5 linked regions of the Oryctolagus cuniculus genome follow. The protein of the gene in region 5 interacts with the protein of the main gene of each other region in a pairwise test. Links are inferred from orthologs where the notes say so. Each region holds a gene or a part of one and is shown on either strand. Other genes may lie near its edges. The genes, in order: ILF2, GET4, KLHL18, ECH1 and EEF1G.

What was found.
Region 1: the proteins of EEF1G (region 5) and ILF2 interact in a two-hybrid assay, tested with the Homo sapiens proteins (2 studies listed by BioGRID and IntAct). The two-hybrid records come from large-scale screens. The link is inferred for Oryctolagus cuniculus from reciprocal best matches to the Homo sapiens genes EEF1G and ILF2.
Region 2: the proteins of EEF1G (region 5) and GET4 interact in a two-hybrid assay, tested with the Homo sapiens proteins (2 studies listed by BioGRID and IntAct, with this or other methods). The link is inferred for Oryctolagus cuniculus from reciprocal best matches to the Homo sapiens genes EEF1G and GET4.
Region 3: the proteins of EEF1G (region 5) and KLHL18 interact in binary tests that used the Homo sapiens proteins (3 or more experiments, as listed by UniProt). The two-hybrid records come from large-scale screens. The link is inferred for Oryctolagus cuniculus from reciprocal best matches to the Homo sapiens genes EEF1G and KLHL18.
Region 4: the proteins of EEF1G (region 5) and ECH1 interact in a two-hybrid assay, tested with the Homo sapiens proteins (2 studies listed by BioGRID and IntAct). The link is inferred for Oryctolagus cuniculus from reciprocal best matches to the Homo sapiens genes EEF1G and ECH1.

Annotation. Positions count from the first base shown.
Region 1 is NC_091438.1:44,651,017-44,655,030, reverse strand, and holds the start of ILF2 (interleukin enhancer-binding factor 2), read right to left. Parts: upstream 2,810-4,014; 5' UTR 2,743-2,809; coding exon 2,738-2,742; exon of another isoform or gene 2,692-2,737; coding exon of another isoform or gene 2,681-2,691; intron 2,360-2,680; coding exon 2,309-2,359; intron 2,183-2,308; coding exon 2,123-2,182; intron 1,885-2,122; coding exon 1,842-1,884; intron 1,183-1,841; coding exon 1,078-1,182; intron 744-1,077; coding exon 666-743; intron 347-665; coding exon 244-346; intron 1-243. UniProt on the Homo sapiens protein: Chromatin-interacting protein that forms a stable heterodimer with interleukin enhancer-binding factor 3/ILF3 and plays a role in several biological processes including transcription, innate immunity or cell growth.
Region 2 is NC_091450.1:36,346,593-36,350,695, forward strand, and holds the start of GET4 (Golgi to ER traffic protein 4 homolog), read left to right. Parts: upstream 1-1,291; 5' UTR 1,292-1,436; coding exon 1,437-1,585; intron 1,586-2,920; exon of another isoform or gene 2,921-3,031; coding exon of another isoform or gene 3,032-3,054; intron 3,055-4,103. UniProt on the Homo sapiens protein: As part of a cytosolic protein quality control complex, the BAG6/BAT3 complex, maintains misfolded and hydrophobic patches-containing proteins in a soluble state and participates in their proper delivery to the endoplasmic reticulum or alternatively can promote their sorting to the proteasome where they undergo degradation.
Region 3 is NC_091441.1:101,515,378-101,518,913, reverse strand, and holds part of KLHL18 (kelch-like protein 18), read left to right. Parts: intron 1-1,435; coding exon 1,436-1,540; intron 1,541-3,073; coding exon 3,074-3,185; intron 3,186-3,536. UniProt on the Homo sapiens protein: Substrate-specific adapter of a BCR (BTB-CUL3-RBX1) E3 ubiquitin-protein ligase complex required for mitotic progression and cytokinesis.
Region 4 is NC_091449.1:15,916,393-15,919,928, forward strand, and holds the end of ECH1 (delta(3,5)-Delta(2,4)-dienoyl-CoA isomerase, mitochondrial), read left to right. Parts: intron 1-1,453; coding exon 1,454-1,578; intron 1,579-1,661; coding exon 1,662-1,710; intron 1,711-1,894; coding exon 1,895-1,959; intron 1,960-2,374; coding exon 2,375-2,445; intron 2,446-2,540; coding exon 2,541-2,612; intron 2,613-2,822; coding exon 2,823-2,973; intron 2,974-3,093; coding exon 3,094-3,198; 3' UTR 3,199-3,343; downstream 3,344-3,536. UniProt on the Homo sapiens protein: Isomerization of 3-trans,5-cis-dienoyl-CoA to 2-trans,4-trans-dienoyl-CoA.
Region 5 is NC_091432.1:8,978,007-8,982,062, forward strand, and holds the start of EEF1G (elongation factor 1-gamma), read left to right. Parts: upstream 1-1,230; 5' UTR 1,231-1,240; coding exon 1,241-1,252; intron 1,253-1,899; exon of another isoform or gene 1,900-2,106; coding exon of another isoform or gene 2,107-2,121; intron 2,122-2,342; coding exon 2,343-2,501; intron 2,502-3,154; coding exon 3,155-3,218; intron 3,219-3,373; coding exon 3,374-3,516; intron 3,517-4,055; coding exon 4,056-4,056. Other genes in the region: TUT1 (speckle targeted PIP5K1A-regulated poly(A) polymerase), read left to right, coding at 1-150. UniProt on the Homo sapiens protein: Probably plays a role in anchoring the complex to other cellular components.

The sequences.
Region 1 (4,014 bases), on a different chromosome or scaffold from region 5:
ATCGGGGGCAAAGATAACATTCTGGATGGGCTCATTCTTTTGCCTCCCCTCCCCAGGCTGCCTCCAGTTGAGAAATACTGCCTTATAGAACCGGCCATACATTCTTTCACTCACTCCAGTTTCTCCTTTGTCATGTTGTAAAAAGAATCTTTTCTCACAAGAAAGCTGAGCTTTAAAGAGCCTAGGCCTCAAGCCATAGAACCTGCCACATTCCGTTCCCACTGTCACAAGACAGACACTCACACGTCGGCAGGATCTTGAGTATCACCACCAGGTCAGCCACATTGTGTCCTGTAGTCATTGTTCCCTTTTTGTAAGATCCTACCTGCCGGACTTCTTCAATTTGCTGTTGGGAAAGAGATTTCAGGAAAAAAAATTTCAGATGCCTCGATGCTCTCAGAACTCTGTGATAGGTAACAGCTTCCTATTACTCAGACTTGGAAGTAGCAAAGGTAAAATCCTACCCCAAGAAACCACATGAAAGCCTGGCCCGTCATGGCCGGCTGGTATCAACACAAACCGTATCCCCAGGATCAGTATTAACAAAGAAAGGAATCCCACTGTACTGTCCAGGTTCAGGCAACTGAAAAACTAAGAGACAGGAGCCAAGGAAATCTGCACATCACCAAGGCCGCCCTTTCCTGGGGCTGTCATCAGAAACTCACCACTTCAAATGTCCCCGGAGCCACAATCAAATTGTCAATCACATTGTTTATTTTTGTCACCAGAGAAAGGATAGAAGCCTGAAAAACAGTAAAATCCCAAAATGAAAAGTTGTAAGCAATTGCTCTGAGTTTGGATATTTTCTCCTGATCCCTTCTGTGGAAGCTGCCAGCCATCAACAGAAGGTTCTAAAAACAACTCAGTGCTTCTGGTCTTGAACTTGCCACAGACAGATTCCCCAGTGAAAATACAAATGTCTATGCCATGTGTTTAAGACGCTCACCTCGCTCCCCATCTCCAACCACAGTGAGACAAGAATGCAAGCTTTGGTGGGCCTCAGGCTCAGGGAACCTATTCTTACTCTCCACTTCCCTTCTGTGGAGAAAGCTCAGAAAGGGAGCCACGAGCACACACCTGTTCGGCAGAATTGGGAGCAAGGTCCTGATTCCTCTTCAGCAAAGCTTCACTGAAGGAAGTCTCATCAGGGGCCGGCTTGACCCGGGGGAAAGCCATTTCACACTAAATCACCAACAAACAAGTATAAACCATTGACCACCAACAACATACAGGAGAGACTGGTTTTATTCCTCTATTAGTGCAACAGAAAAACTTGAACACAGAAAATTCTGCAACACTTGCGGTGCAGTGGGTTAAGCTGCCACTGGCTTCTGATAACAGAGTCCCGGCTGCTCCACTTCCAATCCAGCTGCCTGCTAATGATCTTGGGAACGCAGTGGATGATGTCCCAAGTTCCTGGGCCCTTGTCACCCATGTGAGAGACCAGGATGCAATTCCTGGCTCTTGGCTCCAGCCTGACCCAGCCCTGGCTATCGTGGCCATTTGATGAATGAAACAGTGGATGCAAGATATTTATTTCTCTGACACTGTGCTTTTCAAATAAATAAATCTTTTGAAAAAACCTTCCAACAAGGACCCAGAAGAACAGCCATAATTTATGTTCTTACTACCTTTATATTAACAAATAAGCCAGAGATGCAATGAGTTGTTCAAAGATTATAATCAGGTTATTGCCAAGTATGCTAACACACAACCCCAAGGCCGTTCCCAAATCCCTTCTCCTACTGCGACCACCATGTCAGGGGGCTGTTGGCCTCCACCACTTCTCCATCTGCTGGTGACCAGGGGTCAGGACCCGTTCACCAACCCAAAGCACTTACCAAATAGAAATCAAATGGGATATGCGGCACAAAGGGCCTGAACCTGCAACAAGACAAACAGCTCAAATTATTCAGCACACAGCAATCAAGCAAGATGTACACGATGCACCAGCAATTTGGAAAACACAGACGCACAGCTTGCGGAGGGCCGAGTGGGCTTCTGAGCAAGGCCCGCAGCAGAAGCAGGGTGTGACCCCGCAGCCGGCTCGCACAAAAACACCCTCAGACCCCGCCAACCTCCTCTTAGGTGCCCCAAACTAGCAAGGAAAACTGGCACTCACCCTCCGCCCGGGCCGCCTCTGGAGCCGAAGCGCCCACCGCGACCACGGCCTCTGTCACCCCTGGAAATGCACAGACGTTACTGCCTGGGAGCCGCCGCGGCCCGGCCTCGCTTCCCGCCGGCCGCCCGCCGCCGCCCCCTCCCACCCCGCGTCCCGAATGGCGCCCGGCCCCCCACTGCTCGTGACCTCCTGCTGCCGGACGACTTATCCGCCAGGTAACAGCGTCGCGCAGCGCCCCTGCGAGAAAGACCCTATAACCCGGGGGCACGCCAGCCCCCAAAGCCGGCGCTCAGCGCCCCGGCCGGGCACATGCCGGGCGTCACACGCGGGCCGTCAGGACCAGCGCCGCACGCGGGGAAGCTCCCCCGGCGGCCTGAGCACGACGCCCTCGCGGAGGCGGGCGCCCGCCGCCTCCCCGCCCCGGCCCCAGCCCACGCCGGGCCCGCGCTCCCACCTCCACCCGCCGGGCTCCCCGCGCTGCCGGCCCCGGAGTTCGCGGGGTTCCGGCCGGCCGCAGAGGCGCGGCCCTGCCCGGTCCTCCGACTCCTCTCGACCCACCTTCCCAACATTCTCGGTCGGATACCCACAATCTTTCCAGCACCTCGGTCCCCCTACCTCATGGCGCCCTTAACACCGAACAATGGAGGCCGCACCAACCGCCCCTTTCCTCAGAGAAGCAGACAACTGGAAAGGCGTCTGGCCGGCGTGTCCCAACAAAACGCGCTGCGATTGGCTCCCGCCTTGCTCTGTCGCTTATGCTTATTGGTTTGCTTTGGAGAACCGGGCTTATGGACCAATAAAAAACGGCTATCGTGCCAGGAACCGGCCAATAAGAACAGGCGTGACAGTAATTACAAATTTTTTGAGCCAACACTAGGTGGCGCTGGATAGACTTTAAAAACGACGAACAAGTGAATTGCCTTTTATAATAGCGGGAAGGTTGGTGTCCAGTAGCAGAGTGGCGCAGCGGAAGCGTGCTGGGCCCATAACCCAGAGGTCGATGGATCGAAACCATCCTCTGCTAAGGGCTTTGTTTTTCGCTTCTCAGTTCCACATGCTGCTACAGTACTCCCTCCTTTAAAACCATCTCGCCAATCTTTGCTGCTTTTGAAACGCATCTTCTGCCTCTACCGCCATCGTGTAAAAGGTACCTTCCCTAGAAGGGAAGGAGTGTATGGACTGTGGTGGAGAAACAAGCTTTGAGGTGTTAGAAGGAAAATTGACAAAGTCTTGGAATGACAAATCAGAGAAGGAGAGTCAAGAAAGTGGCGGGTCCCGTCTTCTCCTGTTCCTGTTTTTTGCTCCTGCAAATCCTGGCATGATCCCGCCTCACCCTCACCGGCCACACGGACACACGGTATTTGCATTTCCTTAACGTTTGTTCCTCCTCGGCGTCCCCTCTCACTCACTGGGGGGGGGGGGGGGGGGGGGCCTGCAGCCCCTTGTGGTGGTCCCCAGAAAAGTGAGGCCCGAACTGGAAACAACCTAGAGGTATTTACACGTGTCTCGGCGAGTTGGCCGTACTGAATTCATGGAGAGTGGATGACAAATTGGTCTATGTGTACACAACGGAGTGCTACGAAAATCTAACAAGAGCAGATCGCTGACGAGTGCAAAAACATGGAGGAACCCGGACCGTGTCAAGCGAAAGAAGCCAGACGAAAAGAGAATACATACGATGCACCCTGATCAGAGGAACCAGAGCGGCTGCTTTCCCGGCCAGGGCAAAGCAGAGTGAAGGAACTTGCAGTGAGCGAGAGGGGACATTAACAACATTAACCAACGCTGAGGCGTGGAAAGGTTACAAAAAGCCCAAGTGATGGCATCGATTTAAATGCAAATACTGTGCATCTGGCAAGTGAAGCTGTGAGGCGGGATCATCCCAGGATTGG
Region 2 (4,103 bases), on a different chromosome or scaffold from region 5:
GAAAAGGCCGTGACGGCGCTGCCGGTTCTGCACGCGCAGACCGGAGCGCGTTCAGGGCTGGCGCTGCGCGGCGACACAGCTCACACGTGCACCAGGATCTCCTACGTGAGACTCGGTCCGGAGCGGGTGGACATATTTTGCATATTTATTTTTGAAGATAGGACTTTGTGCAATGTATTTTTGTAAATGCTTTTCAGAATACGTCTTTGGTAATGCTTCTTACGCGGACACCAGTTGATAAGATGCTACTGAAATGTTTAAATAAATAAAGAGTTTTAATTTTTACAGTGCATGTGGTGTTTAAACCAGCAAGCCGTGCGCTCTCCTCGGGTTGTCTGCGCCTTTGCATTTACAGGCAGAACTGGAGGCGCAGACGGAGGCACAGAGCTCCTCTGCCCGCCCGCCTGCTGCCCCGCTGGCCACCCCGCCATCGGCGGGCGGCCCGGGGAGGGGAGTGACCGTGACGTGGCCACGCCTGCGGCTCAGCCCACGCGGGCGCCGGCTCGAGACCCCGCGGCTCCGCGTCCCGGGCCGTGAGCGGGAGCGGGGCCGGAAGCGGAGCCGGGGCTCGAACCCACGCGCTGCAGGCGGCGGCTTCACCCGCCAGACACGAGTCGCCCCCTCGGCCTGAGCGGTGCCCCCATCATGGTCGGCCGTGCGTTCGTCGCCGGCTCGGTTTCCACGAGGGGCCGGGGCACCCGCGGACGCGGGTCCCTCGCGCTCTGGGGCGGCCCCGTAGGCGCGGGCCCCTCGCGCTCTCCCGGCGGCCCCGTGGACGCGGGTCCCTCGCGCTCTCCGGGCGGCCCCGTAGACGCGGGCCCCTCGCGCTCTCCGGCGGCCCCGTGGGCGCGGACCCCTCGCGTTCTCCCGCGGCCCCGTGGACGCGGGCCCCTCGCGCTCTGGGGCGGCCCCGTGGGCGCGGGCCCCTCGCGCTCTCCGGGCGGCCCCGTGGACGCGGGCCCCTCGCGCTCTGGGGCGGCCCCGTGGGCGCGGGCCCCTCGCGCTCTGGGGCGGCCCCGTGGGCGCGGGCCCCTCGCGCTCTGGGGCGGCCCCGTTGGCGCGGGCCCCTCGCGCTCTCCCGCGGCCCCGTGGACGCGGGCCCCTCGCGCTCTCCGGGCGGCCCCGTGGGCGCGGGCCCCTCGCGCTCTCGGGGCGGCCAGCGTCCAGGGCCGCGTCAGCCATTGTGCTGCGAGCGCGCGCCCGGCCCGCGTCAGGTGGTAGCCCGCGGCTCCGCCCCCGGGCCACGTGCCCCTCGCCACAGGCGGCCCGGCTGCTGAGTCACGTGTGCCCACCGCGCAGCGCCCCGCGCCTGCGTGCGGCTCCTCGCGGCCACCGTAGAGGGCGTGGCGCGGCCGCGGGACGGAAGCCGGGAGGGAGTCGCCGCCGACCGCCCCTGCGACAGCGACAGCGTCAGCCCTGCGCGGAGCGCCGGCCCGATGGCGGCGGCGATGGCCGAGCAGGAGAGCGCCCGCAACGGCGCGCGCAACCGCGGCGGCGTCCAGCGCGTGGAGGGCAAGCTGCGCGCCAGCGTGGAGAAGGGCGACTACTACGAGGCGCACCAGATGTACCGGACGCTCTTCTTCAGGTAGCCGCGGCGCGGCGCGTCCGCCCGGCCCGGCCCGCCCCCGCCCGCCTCCTATTGGTCGCGCCGCGCCAGCCCGCGCCCCCATTGGTCCGCGCGGCTGCCTGTCGGAGGCCGAGGCCGGCCGGGCGCGGGGGGCTGGGGCGGCGGGCGGGGGGCTGCGGGCGGCCGGCCCGGCTTGACCCGGCCTGACCCGGCCCGGCGCGGCCGCGGCCTCCCCTCCGCGAGCTGCGAGCCGGCTGGGGCGTCCCCGCGGGCGGCACGGCCGTCGGGCGCCCTGACCGTGGGGCGACCCCTCGGCGCGGCCTGCGGCCCGGCCCGCCCCCGGCGCCGGCGTGGCCGCCATGCGAGCCCGCGGCTCAGGCCCGGCCCGGCGCCCGCTGTTTCGTGAGGCTGAGTTTCGGGGCAGGTTCGGTTCTCGGTAACTCGCGTGGGACGTGCGTGCCAGCCCTGGGGCCCGTGGTGAGAGTCGCTGGGCTTCGCGGGGCGCGGGGGCGCAGGGTCTGAGGCCCCGGCCGGGGGACACCGGGCAGAGGACGGGCGTGGGGCCAGCACCCCCGTCCCGGGCAGAGGACGGGCGTGGGGCCAGCACCCCCGTCCCGGGCAGAGGACCGAGCGTTGGGCCAGCACCCCCGTCCCGGGCAGAGGACCGAGCGTTGGGCCAGCACCCCCATCCCGGGCAGAGGACCGAGCGTGGGCCCAGCACCCCCGTCCCGGGAAGAGGACCGAGCGTGGGGCCAGCACCCCCGTCCCGGGAAGAGGACCGAGCACGGGGCCAGCACCGCCGTCCTGGGAAGAGGACCGAGCACGGGGCCAGCACCGCCATCCCGGACAGAGGACCGAGCGTGGCCAGCACCGCCGTCCCGGGAAGAGGACCGAGCACGGGGCCAGCACCGCCATCCCGGGCAGAGGACCGAGCGTGGCCAGCACCGCCCGTCCCGGGCAGAGGACCGAGCGTGGGGCCAGCACTCCCGTCCCAGGAAGAGGACTGAGCACGGGGCCAGCACTCCCATCCTGGGCAGAGGACTGAGCGTGGGGCTAGCACCCCTGTCCCGGGCAGAGGACTGAGTGTGGGGCCAGCACCGCCGTCCCGGGAAGAGGACCGAGCGTGGGGCTAGCACCCCTGTCCCGGGCAGAGGACTGAGCGTGGGCCCAGCACCCCTGTCCCGGGAAGAGGACCGAGCGTGGGGCTAGCACCCCTGTCCCGGGCAGAGGACTGAGCGTGGGCCCAGCACCCCTGTCCCGGGAAGAGGACCGAGCGAGGCCAGCACCGCCCTGCCTTGGCGTCTGTTGCCTCCACAGCCCTGCTGTGCCCCGGGTAGGGAGTGTGTGTGGAGTCCCGGGCTCCTGGCCGAGGAGGAGGTGTGAGTCGCTCTCCTAAGTGACCTGAGACAGGTCTGGTTCCGGAACCTTCTGTGCAGTGACGCCCGGCAGTCAGGCTGCGAGGAGATGGGTTCAGGAGGAGGTTTGAGGTCGTGCAGCCTTCACCCCGGGGTGGTCATGTCCATGCCCGTGGGCTGCTCTGGGCGCGCTGGCTCCCCGCGGCTGCCGTGGGCTGCTCTGGGCGCGCTGGCTCCCCGCGGCTGCCGTGGGCTGCTCTGGGCGCGCTGCCTCCCCGCGGCTGCCGTGGGCTGCTCTGGGCGCGCTGCCTCCCCGCGGCTGCCGTGGGCTGCTCTGGGCGCGCTGCCTCCCCGCGGCTGCCGTGGGCTGCTCTGGGCGCGCTGGCTCCCCCGCGGCTGCCGTGGGCTGCTCTGGGCGCGCTGGCTCCCCGCGGGCTGCATCGCTCCTCGGGGAGCAGTGGTGTGGGGTGTGTGCGCACCGTCCCGTCTGGACCTGCGCCCCCGAGATGAGACGGGTGCTGGTCTTGGGGACCGGGATGTAGGTGTTTGCATGGTGACTGATCACGAGTGTCTCTTCCTGGAAACACACTGCCTCGCGTGGGCCAGGTCCGCAGGGCTTGGTTGTTAACCCTTAAAGCTGGTTCACTCCCAAGGCAGAGCTGGGCCAGGCTGAAGCCAGGAGCCTGGCCCTCCGTCTGGGTCTCCACGTGGGTGCAGGGACACGGCACTGGGCCGCCGTCCACGGCTTTCTCAGGCCGTGAGCCGGGAGCTGGGGAGAGCTGGGGCAGCCGGAACTCCAGGCGGCACCGCGGGCCTGGCCCTGGTGTGACCCTCAGTGGACGAGTGCGTCCATGGAGGCTGCGTTTCTGCCAGACCCCCCACTGGGGCCCGGGACGCAGCACACGCGTCCCCAGGTGCACTCTGGGAGTGCGGCCTCTCGGAAGTGGGAGTCCCCGAGTTAGCTGGGGTTCTGATGTGTGTCATGCGTTTGCATATTGCCAGGCAACCAGTCACGTGGGCCGGGCCCGCCCCCCAGTGGCTGCCGTCAGCCCTTCTGGGTTGATGGGCTTCTAGAACCCCGCGCAGTGCAGTCACGGTGGGGGCGCCTGTTTGGATTCTGAATGCGCTGAGCGGGGTGGGGGTCCCTGCGGGTGTCTTAGTCCGCTTTGTTGCTGACGGGG
Region 3 (3,536 bases), on a different chromosome or scaffold from region 5:
TTCCAGGCCACCTCCGTGGAACTTTATTGCTCTGGGCTACTCCAGTCCACACTGATCAACACTTTCCCTTTTCTCTACACACTTGTCTTACCACTTAATTGATGTTTAATCTGTCTCTTTTTTTCAAGTTTTGTTTTATTTGTTTGAAAGAATTACAATGAAAGAAGGAGAAACAGGGAGAGATCTTCCATCTGCTGGTTCAATGCCCAAATGTCCACAACACTTGGGGCTAGGCCAAGTCGAAACCAGGAGCTTGGAATTCCATCCAGGTCTCCCGTGTGGGTGACAGGAGCCCAGACACTGCAGCCATCTTCCACTGTTGTCCCAGGCGCATTAAAAGGGAGCTAGATCAGAAGTGTAACAGCCAGGACTCAAAGCAGACTAAATGTTTTCACCAGTCCCCTGGGTCTTTACTACTCTGGGAACTTGGCTTTGTGAGTGGCAGGGAGTTGATCTTGTCTCATTTACATTGAAGGCAGTTATCTCCCTGGGCAGGCTGGAGAAAACCCAGCCTCTGAGCCCCAGCTGTGCATTTGTGCAGTTATGATAGTGACCCACACTTCTTGCAGGGCATGGAGAGGGTTGAAAATAGTAAGTGTAGTGGTAGCTAATAAGTAGAGTACCAAAAGAAAATAAAGAAAACTGAATACGTATGAGCAGAAAAAAATAATTTCAATATTAAGAATCTTGAGAACTTACTGCTCTTGAAGTACTTATGATTAAAAACCATGTATCCATTTGAAACGAATGAAGTATACAATTTTGTGAAGTTCCTGTTACAAAATTTTAAAAAATCTATTAAGTGTAAAGCACCTGACATGCATCACCCACTTAGACAAATTAGGCATCAGACAAGGCCATGTGTGTAATGAAAACACATCTGTTATTTTGAGTGGGAAGAATCTGAGGTAACACAGTGAACATATACTGAGGGCCTCTTATATTCCAGACACTACACTAATTACTGTCAAGGTCACACATATGAAGACCTTCCCTGTCTTGTTTAGAGGTGGCAGACCGAGCCCTAGTATTCCATAGTGTCAGAACATAAGTGTCTTGGGGGCAAAAGCTTGGGCTTACTCACCACTCTAAACCCAGTGCCTGAGACAGTGTGCCCTGTGAGTGACTGATAAAAATATGATGGATGAATAAATGAATGATTGCAACAAGTGATGAAATAAAGAAAGAAGCAGCTGTGGGAATGTGGGGTTGGAAGAGAGTAAGTCTTGTTTGAGGGGTCTCAGGTAGCTTTTAAGGAGGGAGAGGCAAGAGGAATTTGACCTGGGCAGTAAAGGTAAATGAGACCATCAGCATGGCAGGTTGGAAGGGAGCATTTCAGGCAGAAAAAGGCATTGATAGGTTAACTTCTTGTGGACATAAGAGGCAGCACTGGGAGTCTGAGGCCCATCTGGAATGACAGCTCTGTCTGTTTCAGTGCCATGGGGACAGTCGTGCTGGACGGGCAGATCTACGTGTGTGGGGGCTACGATGGAAACTCTTCCCTCAACTCTGTGGAGACCTACTCGCCTGAGACGGATAAGTAAGGGTTCTGGCTCCTCTGGGGCAACTGGAGCTTACTGAGCAGAGTGTGTGAAAAAACTTGGGACCACAGACTTCTTGACTGTAGACAAATCTTAACCTATAATGTCTTGTGTGTGATAGGCTGTGCTACACATCCTTGGTTAAATGAACGAATTGTTGAATAATTTTTTCAAACGATCTATACAGATACTTGGAAGCATTTGTTTGGTGGTCTGTACCTCTTAATCAGTCAGCCTATTTTAATGGAAATGCAAGTGAAAGAGAATAGGAAGTAGACCAGCAACATGTTCCAAAGTGAGCAGGATATGATTTGGAAAAAAAGAAAGACGTTATATGATCAGATAAGCTTGGGAAATGTTGATGTCTGTACCACCAGAGTCCTTGTCTTTCCATAATCCCTGTTAACATTTTAAAGGCTCTGAAAACTTCTAGAGTGAAGTTTAACCTTGTGTTTTATATAATACCTAGCAACATCTTGAGGTTATTTTGTGAAACAGTCTTTGGAAAACACAAGATTAGCCTGAACACTCTCATATTGTGTAACAAAATATAAGCAAATGGGTTGAGTGGACTCATCAGGATGCTTTTGAGCTAGTATACTGTCACTTCACGAACTTACTAGATGTCAGGCCATAAGCTGGCTATGAGATCCTTAAAGTAATACTCAGTATTTCATAATGAATGCGTTGTCATCCTACCCGGGAGGCTTGTGTCTGGTGCTCTTGGGCAGAGATTGGGGAGCACCTTCCTCCTCCCTGGGGCTGGGAGGAGAGGCAGAGTGGCCGGGATGTCTTCCAAGGTGAGACCTATCATGGGTAGACAGTGGGAGAGGCTGCTCATCATGAGCAGGGAGCCAGCACTTTCTTCGGTAAGAAAGTGTTCACAGTGGCGAGGACAGCAGTTAGCCTCCAGTGGGCTGGAACATACAGTGTGGCAAGGGGTGGCTCTGCAAAGTGGGTGAGGACAAAGTGGTAAAAAACACATTAAGGAACTTGGAAACTGCCTTAGACGAGGGCTGTGGTACAGCCACTGGCTACATGGGTTGGAATGGGAAGTGGTCTGAAAGCCAGGCCGCTGGTAAGGAGGCTGTTCCTATAGTCGGGGTGAGAGGCCAGAGCTATGGCAAAAGGATGGAGATGGGAACAAGCAGCAACCAGAAAACAAACCAGCCAGGACTTGGGGACCACAAGAATGTTAAGGGTGAGGGAGAAGCAGCCCCCCAAATTCTGACTTTTATTAAGTGCAGCAAGGAGATAGCTGGTGGTCCCATTAACAGGATGAGGGAGTAGACATGAGAGGAGCAGATATGTGGGAGAAAGAGGCCTGGTTTGATACATGCTGGGTTGGAGTGCACATGGAAAAGAGCAGAGAAGATGGGCTGTGTGTCTGCACTTGGATGAGAGGCAGCAACAGAAGTGATGGGAAAGCTGGTAAAATGTGGGGAGATTATCCACGGTCCACCCAAGCCCTGGTAAGTTGTCTTAGGAGACCAGCTCTCATGTCTTCTCTTTATTTTGACTCTTTTTTAAAGGTGGACAGTGGTGACCCCGATGAGCTCGAATCGCAGTGCCGCTGGGGTTACGGTCTTTGAGGGCAGGATATATGTGTCGGGCGGCCATGATGGTTTGCAGATCTTCAACAGTGTGAGTCGGGCTCCTCTTGGGCTAAGGGCACCTACTCCTTCCATGTTGAGTTATTTTGGAGGCAGGTGCTGTGGTGTAGTAGGTTATAGCCTCCGCCTGCAGCGCCAGCATCTGTATGGGCACTGGTTCGAGTCCCAGCTGCTCCACTTCTGATCCAGCTCTCTGCTAATGGCCTGGGAAAGCAGTGGAAGATGGCCCAAGTGCTTGGGTCCCCTACCCCCATGTAGGAGACCCAAAAGAAACTCCTGGCTCCTGGCTTCAGATCAGCCTTCCTCCAGCTGTTGCAGTCACTTGGGGAGAGAACCAGCACATGAAAGAACTCTGTCTCTCCCTCCCTCTCTAACTCTGCTC
Region 4 (3,536 bases), on a different chromosome or scaffold from region 5:
TTTCATTTTATGAGTGACAGAGATTCAAATCCCCTTCCCCACTGGTTCACTCTCCAAACGCCCGCAACAGCCAGGAGCCCAGAACTCCATCCTGGTCTCCCGCATGGGTGGCAGGGACCCAAAGCACTATGGCCGTTCCCTGCTGCCTCCCAGGGTGCGCATTAGCAGGGAGCCGGATCGGAAGCAGATGAGCCTGGACTGACCCCACGCTCCAATATGGGCTGCAGGTGTCAGAAGCTCGACCAGTGTGCCTGACACCGGCCCCACATTGTCTTCATTGTTTGTCTTATCTGAGAGCAGGGGCTGTCACTGTTTGCTTTCTGAGCAGCCACTGTGTCCCGGGCCTGGGCCCAGGCACTGGGGAGAGAGCAGTGGACAGACACACACAGGCCCCTGCGTCTTGGAGCTCACATCCCAGAAAGAGAAGCAGGTGCTCAACCAGACCAGCACAGCGTCCGTGACAGCGAGATGTGCGGCAGGGCAGAACCAGCAGATGGATGGAGGGGCCCCGGCCGGCCGCCATGCGGCAGAGCCACGGTGTCTCATAGTTGGAACGGTTGGAGGCCGGCCGGAAGTGATGGCTGCGCAGCCTGGGAGGTCCCAGCATGAACTTGGCATTTTATTCTGTTCTCTACTGGGCTGTGCACAGGTTCCCCCGGCTGTGTGTGGGGAGCGGGCAGGAGCAGGGGGAGGGGCACGGAGGTTGGCTGGGGTCGGAAAGGTCAGGTTCAGGATTATCTTGAAGTTGGAGGCACGAACTCTGCACCCCCTGCTCTTCGCGTCTCAGGAAACATCGCCACCAAGGAGCTCGTGCCTGTGGCTCCTTAGGCCGACAGGTGTGAGGGGGAGCACAGCCCCTGGAGTCAGCCGCGTGGTCCCGTGGTCTGAAACCTCAGTGCTGCCAGGCACTTAACCTCTCTGTGCCGTTAACCCATCGGGAAGGGGTTGGCCTTGTGGCACAGTGGGTTAGCCGCCTCCTGTAGTGCCGACATCCCACACGAGCCCTGGTCCGAGTCCCGGCTGCTCCACTTCTGATCCAGCTCCCTGCAGAGGAAGATGGCGCATGCGCTTGGGCTCCTGCCACCCTTGGTGAGGGGACCCAGATGGAGTGGTGGCCACTGGGGGATGAACCAGTGGATGGAAGATCTCTCTCTCTCTCTCCCTCTCCCTCTCCCCCTCTTTCTCTCTCTTTCTTTCCCATGAATAAATAAATGTTTTTAGGAAAATCAGTGCGGCAGCAGTAGCGACAGGACCAGGGCACAGCTTGCTGGGGCATGAGCGAGAGCCGGGTGCTGGCTCCCCTGTTTCAGGCCTGCTCCTGCTCGCAGCCCCTCGCGCGTGCTCTCTGGTGGCTGGGGGACTTTGGGCCTGCTGCGCCTGGCTTTGGGCTGCCAGCTGGGGCAATGGGTGGGGTCTATGAGGCTAGGTGAGCCCCCTGCCACCCCCTCACCAGGCATCGACCTCATGGACGTGGGTTCCGACCTCCTGCAGCCGCAAGGAGACGACCCGGCCCGCATCAGCTGGTACCTCCGTGACCTCATCCGCAGGTACCAGGAGACCTTCAGCGTCATCGAGAAGGTGACTCTGGGGCACCACGGGCCATCCCTGCCACCTGCCTCTCCGCCGCCAGCCCTGACCCCGCCCCTCCTGTTCCCTTCCAGTGCCCCAAGCCCGTGATCGCCGCCATCCACGGGGGCTGCATTGGCGGGGGTGAGTCTGCAGCCGCCTGCCTCCCACCAGGGTGCGCCTGCTGGGGTAGGGGTGGGGGGCTGCCCCTCCCTGGCCGCGAGCCTCCAGCCTCAGCTCTGTGGCTGTCTCGAGACGCAACCCCACCTCCCAGGAGGAGGGGCTTAGTGCTTGTGGTTGCTCAGTGTCCCCGGCTTCTGCCTGCCAGGTGTGGACCTAGTCACCGCCTGTGACATCCGGTACTGTGCCCAGGATGCTTTCTTCCAGGTGAAGGTAAGGTGCCCCCCCCAGCTCCTTCCCCGGGTGCTGCTGGCAGTTGGGCAGTGAGCGATCGGCCTGGGCAGAGCAGGGACAGTGCCAGCCGCCGGGGGGCAGGGGGGCTGGGGGAGTCAGAATTGAATTTTTCCAAGGAAGCCTCAGCCGGCCGTGGAGGAAGACAAGGGCAAGGGGTCCAGGTGAAGTCATAGTGGGGAAGGGTGTGGCCAAGGGGGCAGGGGATGGTGGGGAGGTGGGTGGCAGAATGGAGCTCCCAGCGCAGTGAAGGCGTTGGCAGGGACGGCCAAGGAGGCTTCCCTCCGGAGATGCAGGGCTCAGGCCCCCCCTCCCAGGAAGGGACCTGCACAACCCACTGCTGTCTGGGCCAGCCTGGTGCAGGCGCCCGACGGCTCTGCCGCCCTTGCCCCCGCAGGAGGTGGACATAGGCTTGGCTGCTGATGTGGGGACGCTGCAGCGGCTGCCCAAGGTCATCGGAAACCAGAGGTCGGCAGGATACGGCCGGGGAGGGAGCCGCAAGGCAAGGGGTCTCCAGGCCCCGGGGTGAGGGCCGTCTGCTCACGCGCCCTGGCCTCTTGCAGCCTGGTCAACGAGCTGGCCTTCACCGCGCGCAAGATGATGGCTGACGAGGCCCTGAGCAGCGGGCTGGTCAGGTAGGGTCAGCGCCACCTGGGCGCGCTCCCCGCTCCCCGGGTCCGTGTGACCTCCCTGAGTGCTCATTGCTTTCTTGGGGACGGGGTGGGGGGTGGGGGGTGGCTCTTGCCCGGCTGCCCTCGGGCCGGGTCACTGGGGTCTCCTGCCGGCCGCGGGAGTGGCGTGGAGCCCTGCTCAGCCCTCCTGACCGCCGCTCCCTTCCGTGGCAGCCGTGTGTTCCCGGACAAGGAGGTCATGCTGGACGCGGCCTTCGCCCTGGCGGCCGAGATTTCCAGCAAGAGCCCGGTGGCCGTGCAGAGCAGCAAGATCAACCTGGTCTACTCCCGGGACCACACCGTGGCCGAGAGCCTCAATTACATGGTAAGGCGCTCGCTCCTGCCACTCACAAGCCGCCCGGCCCGCAGAGCGCCCCCTGAGGGCCGCGCGGCTGGCTCTCTGCGCGCGCCTGCGCCTCTGATTGGGCCGCTGCTGATCCTCCAGGCGACCTGGAACATGAGCATGCTCCAGACCCAGGACATCATGAAGTCCGTCCAGGCCGCGATGGAGAAGAAGGACCTCAAAACCGTCGCCTTCTCCAAGCTCTGAGGGCCTCGCCCTGTGCCTCCCCGCGCAAGGCTCCCCTCCGCTGGGGTGGGGGACGCGCGGGCCGGGGCGCCTTCCCGCACCTCCCAGGCCGTAGCTGTAAGGTGCTGGCCTCCTCATCCTGGTGATCAATAAAGCCTTGTGAAGAGCCGGTGCCCTGAGCGGGGCGGGGGAGGGGGGGAGGGAGGGGGAGGGGCGGGACCGAAGTCCCGAGAGTCCTCACCCTGCGGCTCAGCCTAGCTGCTCCGGTGCCGCCGCAGTCCGGAAGGGCTCCCCTGCGACCCAGTCTGGAGCCGCTGGCCTCTTTCCTGCAAGTGTTGAGTTTGCGTGTCCATGTATGG
Region 5 (4,056 bases):
GACCCCCTCCTGACCTTCATCGTGTCTGCCTCCCAAGCTGACCAGACTCTCACTGTGACCCCTCTCCGGGATTCCCAGGGCCTGTTCCCTGACCTCTATCACTTCTTACAAGTTTTCCTCCCTCAAGCACTGCGAAATCTCCTCAAGTGAACATGGGCCATAGAGGGCAATAAAGCTGCTAGTTTAATACAAATACTCTCCAGTTTTCTCTGATTTTCTCCCGGTACTTTCCGCCTCCTTCTTGGGCTCTCCCACACCTTAATACAGCCCTCTCAGATCTGCCTTGTCTGACCCCGATCACCCTGGTCTTCCCACTTAGCACTGCCTGCAGGCACCTGGCAGAGTTCCCGAATGACCGTGCTTGCGGGCTTTGCAGCAAGTCTGCCTCCAGTGAGGCTGCTGCCCCGGGTTTACACGTGGTGTCAAAGCCGGAGATGTGGGTTCAGACCTCTTCCATTCTCGTTCTTCAACTGAGTAATAGATTTTCACACCGGAACATGGGTAAAAAGCAACCCAGCAGAATGCAGGCTCCGAAGCGGGTGGCAGGGCCCATGGCTGGGTTCTCCTGCGCCCCTGAACTGCTGCGGGTCAGAGGTCTGGTGTCCTTGTCGCAGTACCAGCATGCGGAGTTGCAAACTAGTGTCATGTGAGCGAACCTCACTCGGGCAGATGGTTTCAGACCCGAGCCCCTGTTACGTGTACATTCCTCTCTCAAGTCCAGAGCGGGAACAAAAGGAACCTCGCCAGCTCCCGCCTCCGCGCAGCTCTGGCTTCTCGGCCCCGTGAGCTTCGCGGGCGATGCGAGGGGCTGGCAGAACCTACCGTCAGGCCGCTTGCCGCAGGAAGGCGGGAGGGGTGCGCCTGCGGGAGCCGGCGCCGCACTGGGTGGGCCGCTGTGCCACGTAGCCGCGAAGGGGCGGCCCTGCTAGCCGGTTCTCACAGTTTCCCCGCCCCCGCCTCCCCCCCCCCGCCTTCTACCTCCACCTCGGGGCTCTGATTGGTCGGTTGCAGCAGAAGGGCCGGCCAGTCACAAGCCCAGCGCGCCGGCTGCGCGGCCCCTCAGGCCCCACCCCCTCCAACGCGGCTGGATACCGAACTGTCGTGCGTGTGCCTTCTATGCCGTCCTCGCTTTCCGGCTGCTGTTTCTCCACGGCTCTCCCCTTACCCCCTCCCTTTTCTCCCTGGCGGCTTACTTTGCGGCAGCGCTGAGAGCCCAACCCCCTTTCTCTGCGGAATCACCATGGCGGCCGGGGTAAGTTTGCCGGGTCTAGTGAGCCGGGTCACCTTATCCGCCGCCATCCTCTGTCTGAGTAGGGCCAGTCGGCGCCGGAGGCGTTCTGGAGCTGAGTGGGGGACCGATCCGGAGTTTACAGACCGTACTGTAGGAGAACGGAGGTCCTAGGGCCCGGAAGGGAACTGAGGCTGGGGCTCTCCGAGGCCAGAGGTGGAAGAGTCTGGGGTAGAGGAGCAATGAGATGCTGGATCTGGGCCGTCTGGAGCCTGACAGGGGGTTCAGCTTCATTGCTTCGTTGAGACGCGGGATCCGGGCAGGTTGGCGGAACTTTCGCGGCCGTTTTGTGGGGCAGCAGCGGGGGCAGAGCGAAGAGGAGGGTCTTTGTGGAGAGGCTCGGCTGGCATGGTTAGGGGTTGCCGCTCAGGGAGGCTTGGGGGAGCGAGGCATCTCTGGACGGTGAGGCCAGACCGGGTGGATGGATCCCTCTGGCCGGGCTCTCCGAGATGGCAGAAGCTGGGAACTCGCTGCGGGACGGGACGGGACGGGAGGGAAGGCGTGCGCGACTCGGCAAGAAAGGCTTTTTAGGGCAAGGAGTCGATTTAGGAAGAGGGCATGCTATTGGTTGTCTCGATGGCTATCCTGAGGGGAACTTGAAACGTCCGGATGTGTGTGCCTTGCAGAGGAGGTTGGTGGCTCTGAGGCAGTGATGAGCTCAGCGGTGGAGTAGGCAGGCACTGGGGAACCGTCAATGAATGAAACGCAGCCCCCGGGAAGGCAGGGGTGTAGGTTTGTAGGCAGACGGAGTCTCAGGGAGGCAGTGCTGGGCTTCTTGGAGATAAATATGAGGGGAAGGAGAATGAGTGCTTCCCGAGATGTCCTTAGGGAAGGTCAGTTTGTCCCCGAGCTTTATTTAGCCGCTGATGCGTAGTTCTGTGCTTGGTGCTTCGGAGGACTCTGATTACATGTGGCAAGCACTAGGGAACCTGGTTTCCCCGAGGGAGTAAAAGTGAGCGGAACCGATTGTGATGGCTGAGGAAAGCCATGCTGGCATATGGCGCGCAGGCTGGGACCCCTCCTCACATTAATCTTTTCCCCTTTTCTTACATAGACCCTGTACACATACCCTGAAAACTGGAGGGCCTTTAAGGCCCTCATCGCTGCTCAGTACAGCGGGGCTCAGGTCCGCGTGCTCTCCGCACCCCCCCACTTCCACTTCGGCCAGACCAACCGAACCCCTGAATTTCTCCGCAAATTCCCTGCTGGCAAGGTGAGTAAGGAAGTGGTGAGGGGCTTTTGGACCTGGGACCCTTAGGAGCCCTGATTCCGTCACTCTGGGGATGGGCCTTATCTTTAAAAGACAGCTTCTCATGTTATTTTCTTTCACATTTCAGTGGTTAAGAACACTTTCTTAGATAATTGTAGTTGTGAAAAATAATAGCTCCTCAGTGACTTTATAAAACTGACAGGCATGCTTTATATTTCTGAGAAAGAGAATGAGTTTTGGCCAACTATTTCAGTGTGAGTATATAGATTATATATTGTGAGCAAGGTTTTTAATCCAAGGGGCTTACAGAGATAGGGAAATTACTTCACTAAGAGTGGAGGGATCAGGTGTATATGCGTAGGCCAGATACAGTGAGTGATACAGCAAACATGTATAACTTCGTTTCTAGCCCCTTCGTATTTGAAGACTTCTATACAAATACCTTATAATAACCAAATATTTTGGGTTTCTTAGTTTAGACATGGCAAATTCAGATTACAGGGGATACCAAGTTATCAAAGTCTGTTTGTTAGACGGTATTAAGAGTTTGGATTACAAGAATTGTCAGCCTTATGTAGACAGTTTTGTCCAAAGCAGTTCAGTTCCTGGGATTCGCTAATGAAATGTACTTTATGTTTTCACTGTTTTGCCCCCAGGTTCCAGCATTTGAAGGTGATGATGGATTCTGTGTGTTTGAGAGCAACGCCATTGCCTACTATGGTAATTTACAGGCACTTATGGGAATGGGAGGGTGTGGAGGTGAGGGTGTAGGAGAGGATGCGGGTGAGCTGGAGTGGACAAGGAAGAATTCTTGGGAACCTAGACTTATGTTGGCATGATCCCAAAGTTCTGCTCTTTGTGTTCTGCCTCTGCAGTGAGCAATGAGGAGCTGCGGGGAAGTACTCCAGAGGCAGCCGCCCAGGTGGTGCAGTGGGTGAGCTTTGCCGATAGTGACATAGTGCCCCCAGCCAGCACTTGGGTGTTCCCCACCTTGGGCATCATGCATCACAACAAGCAGGTGAGCCTCGGAACTTGGGGAGAAGCAGGAGCAGGGTTGGCATCAGCTTCTGCATGCTGGGGAGTAAGAAATACAATAGGCTGAGAAAGCAAAGTACCACAGATGTGTGGGCAATGAGGAAACGTAGGCTTTGGAGTATACATGTGGGACAGTGGGTGCTGTCTGGCTTTTTTTTTTTTTTTTTTTTTTTTGTCAGTGGAAGTGTTATCTGTCATAAGAGATCAGAGGAGAGATTTCTGTTGTAGGAAGTTTACCAAGTTGTAGAAGAGTTAAACCAGATGACGTCCAAGATTCCATCTACTTATCCAAAGATAAATGAGTACCATCATTACTGTGGAAATGAAGCCAGACTGCCATAAAGAAATTTAACCATGGAGAGCTTTGTGATTTGGAATCATCTTAGAATCTGACTCCATTGAAAGAGGGCTGGTCTGGGTGAGCCAGACTCAATTCAGTGAAGCAGCTTTTTTTAGTTCTGTGGAGGGTTGAGGGAAGGGAATTGCTTCCCACTGAGAAGTTTGATGATTTCAAATCAATAGG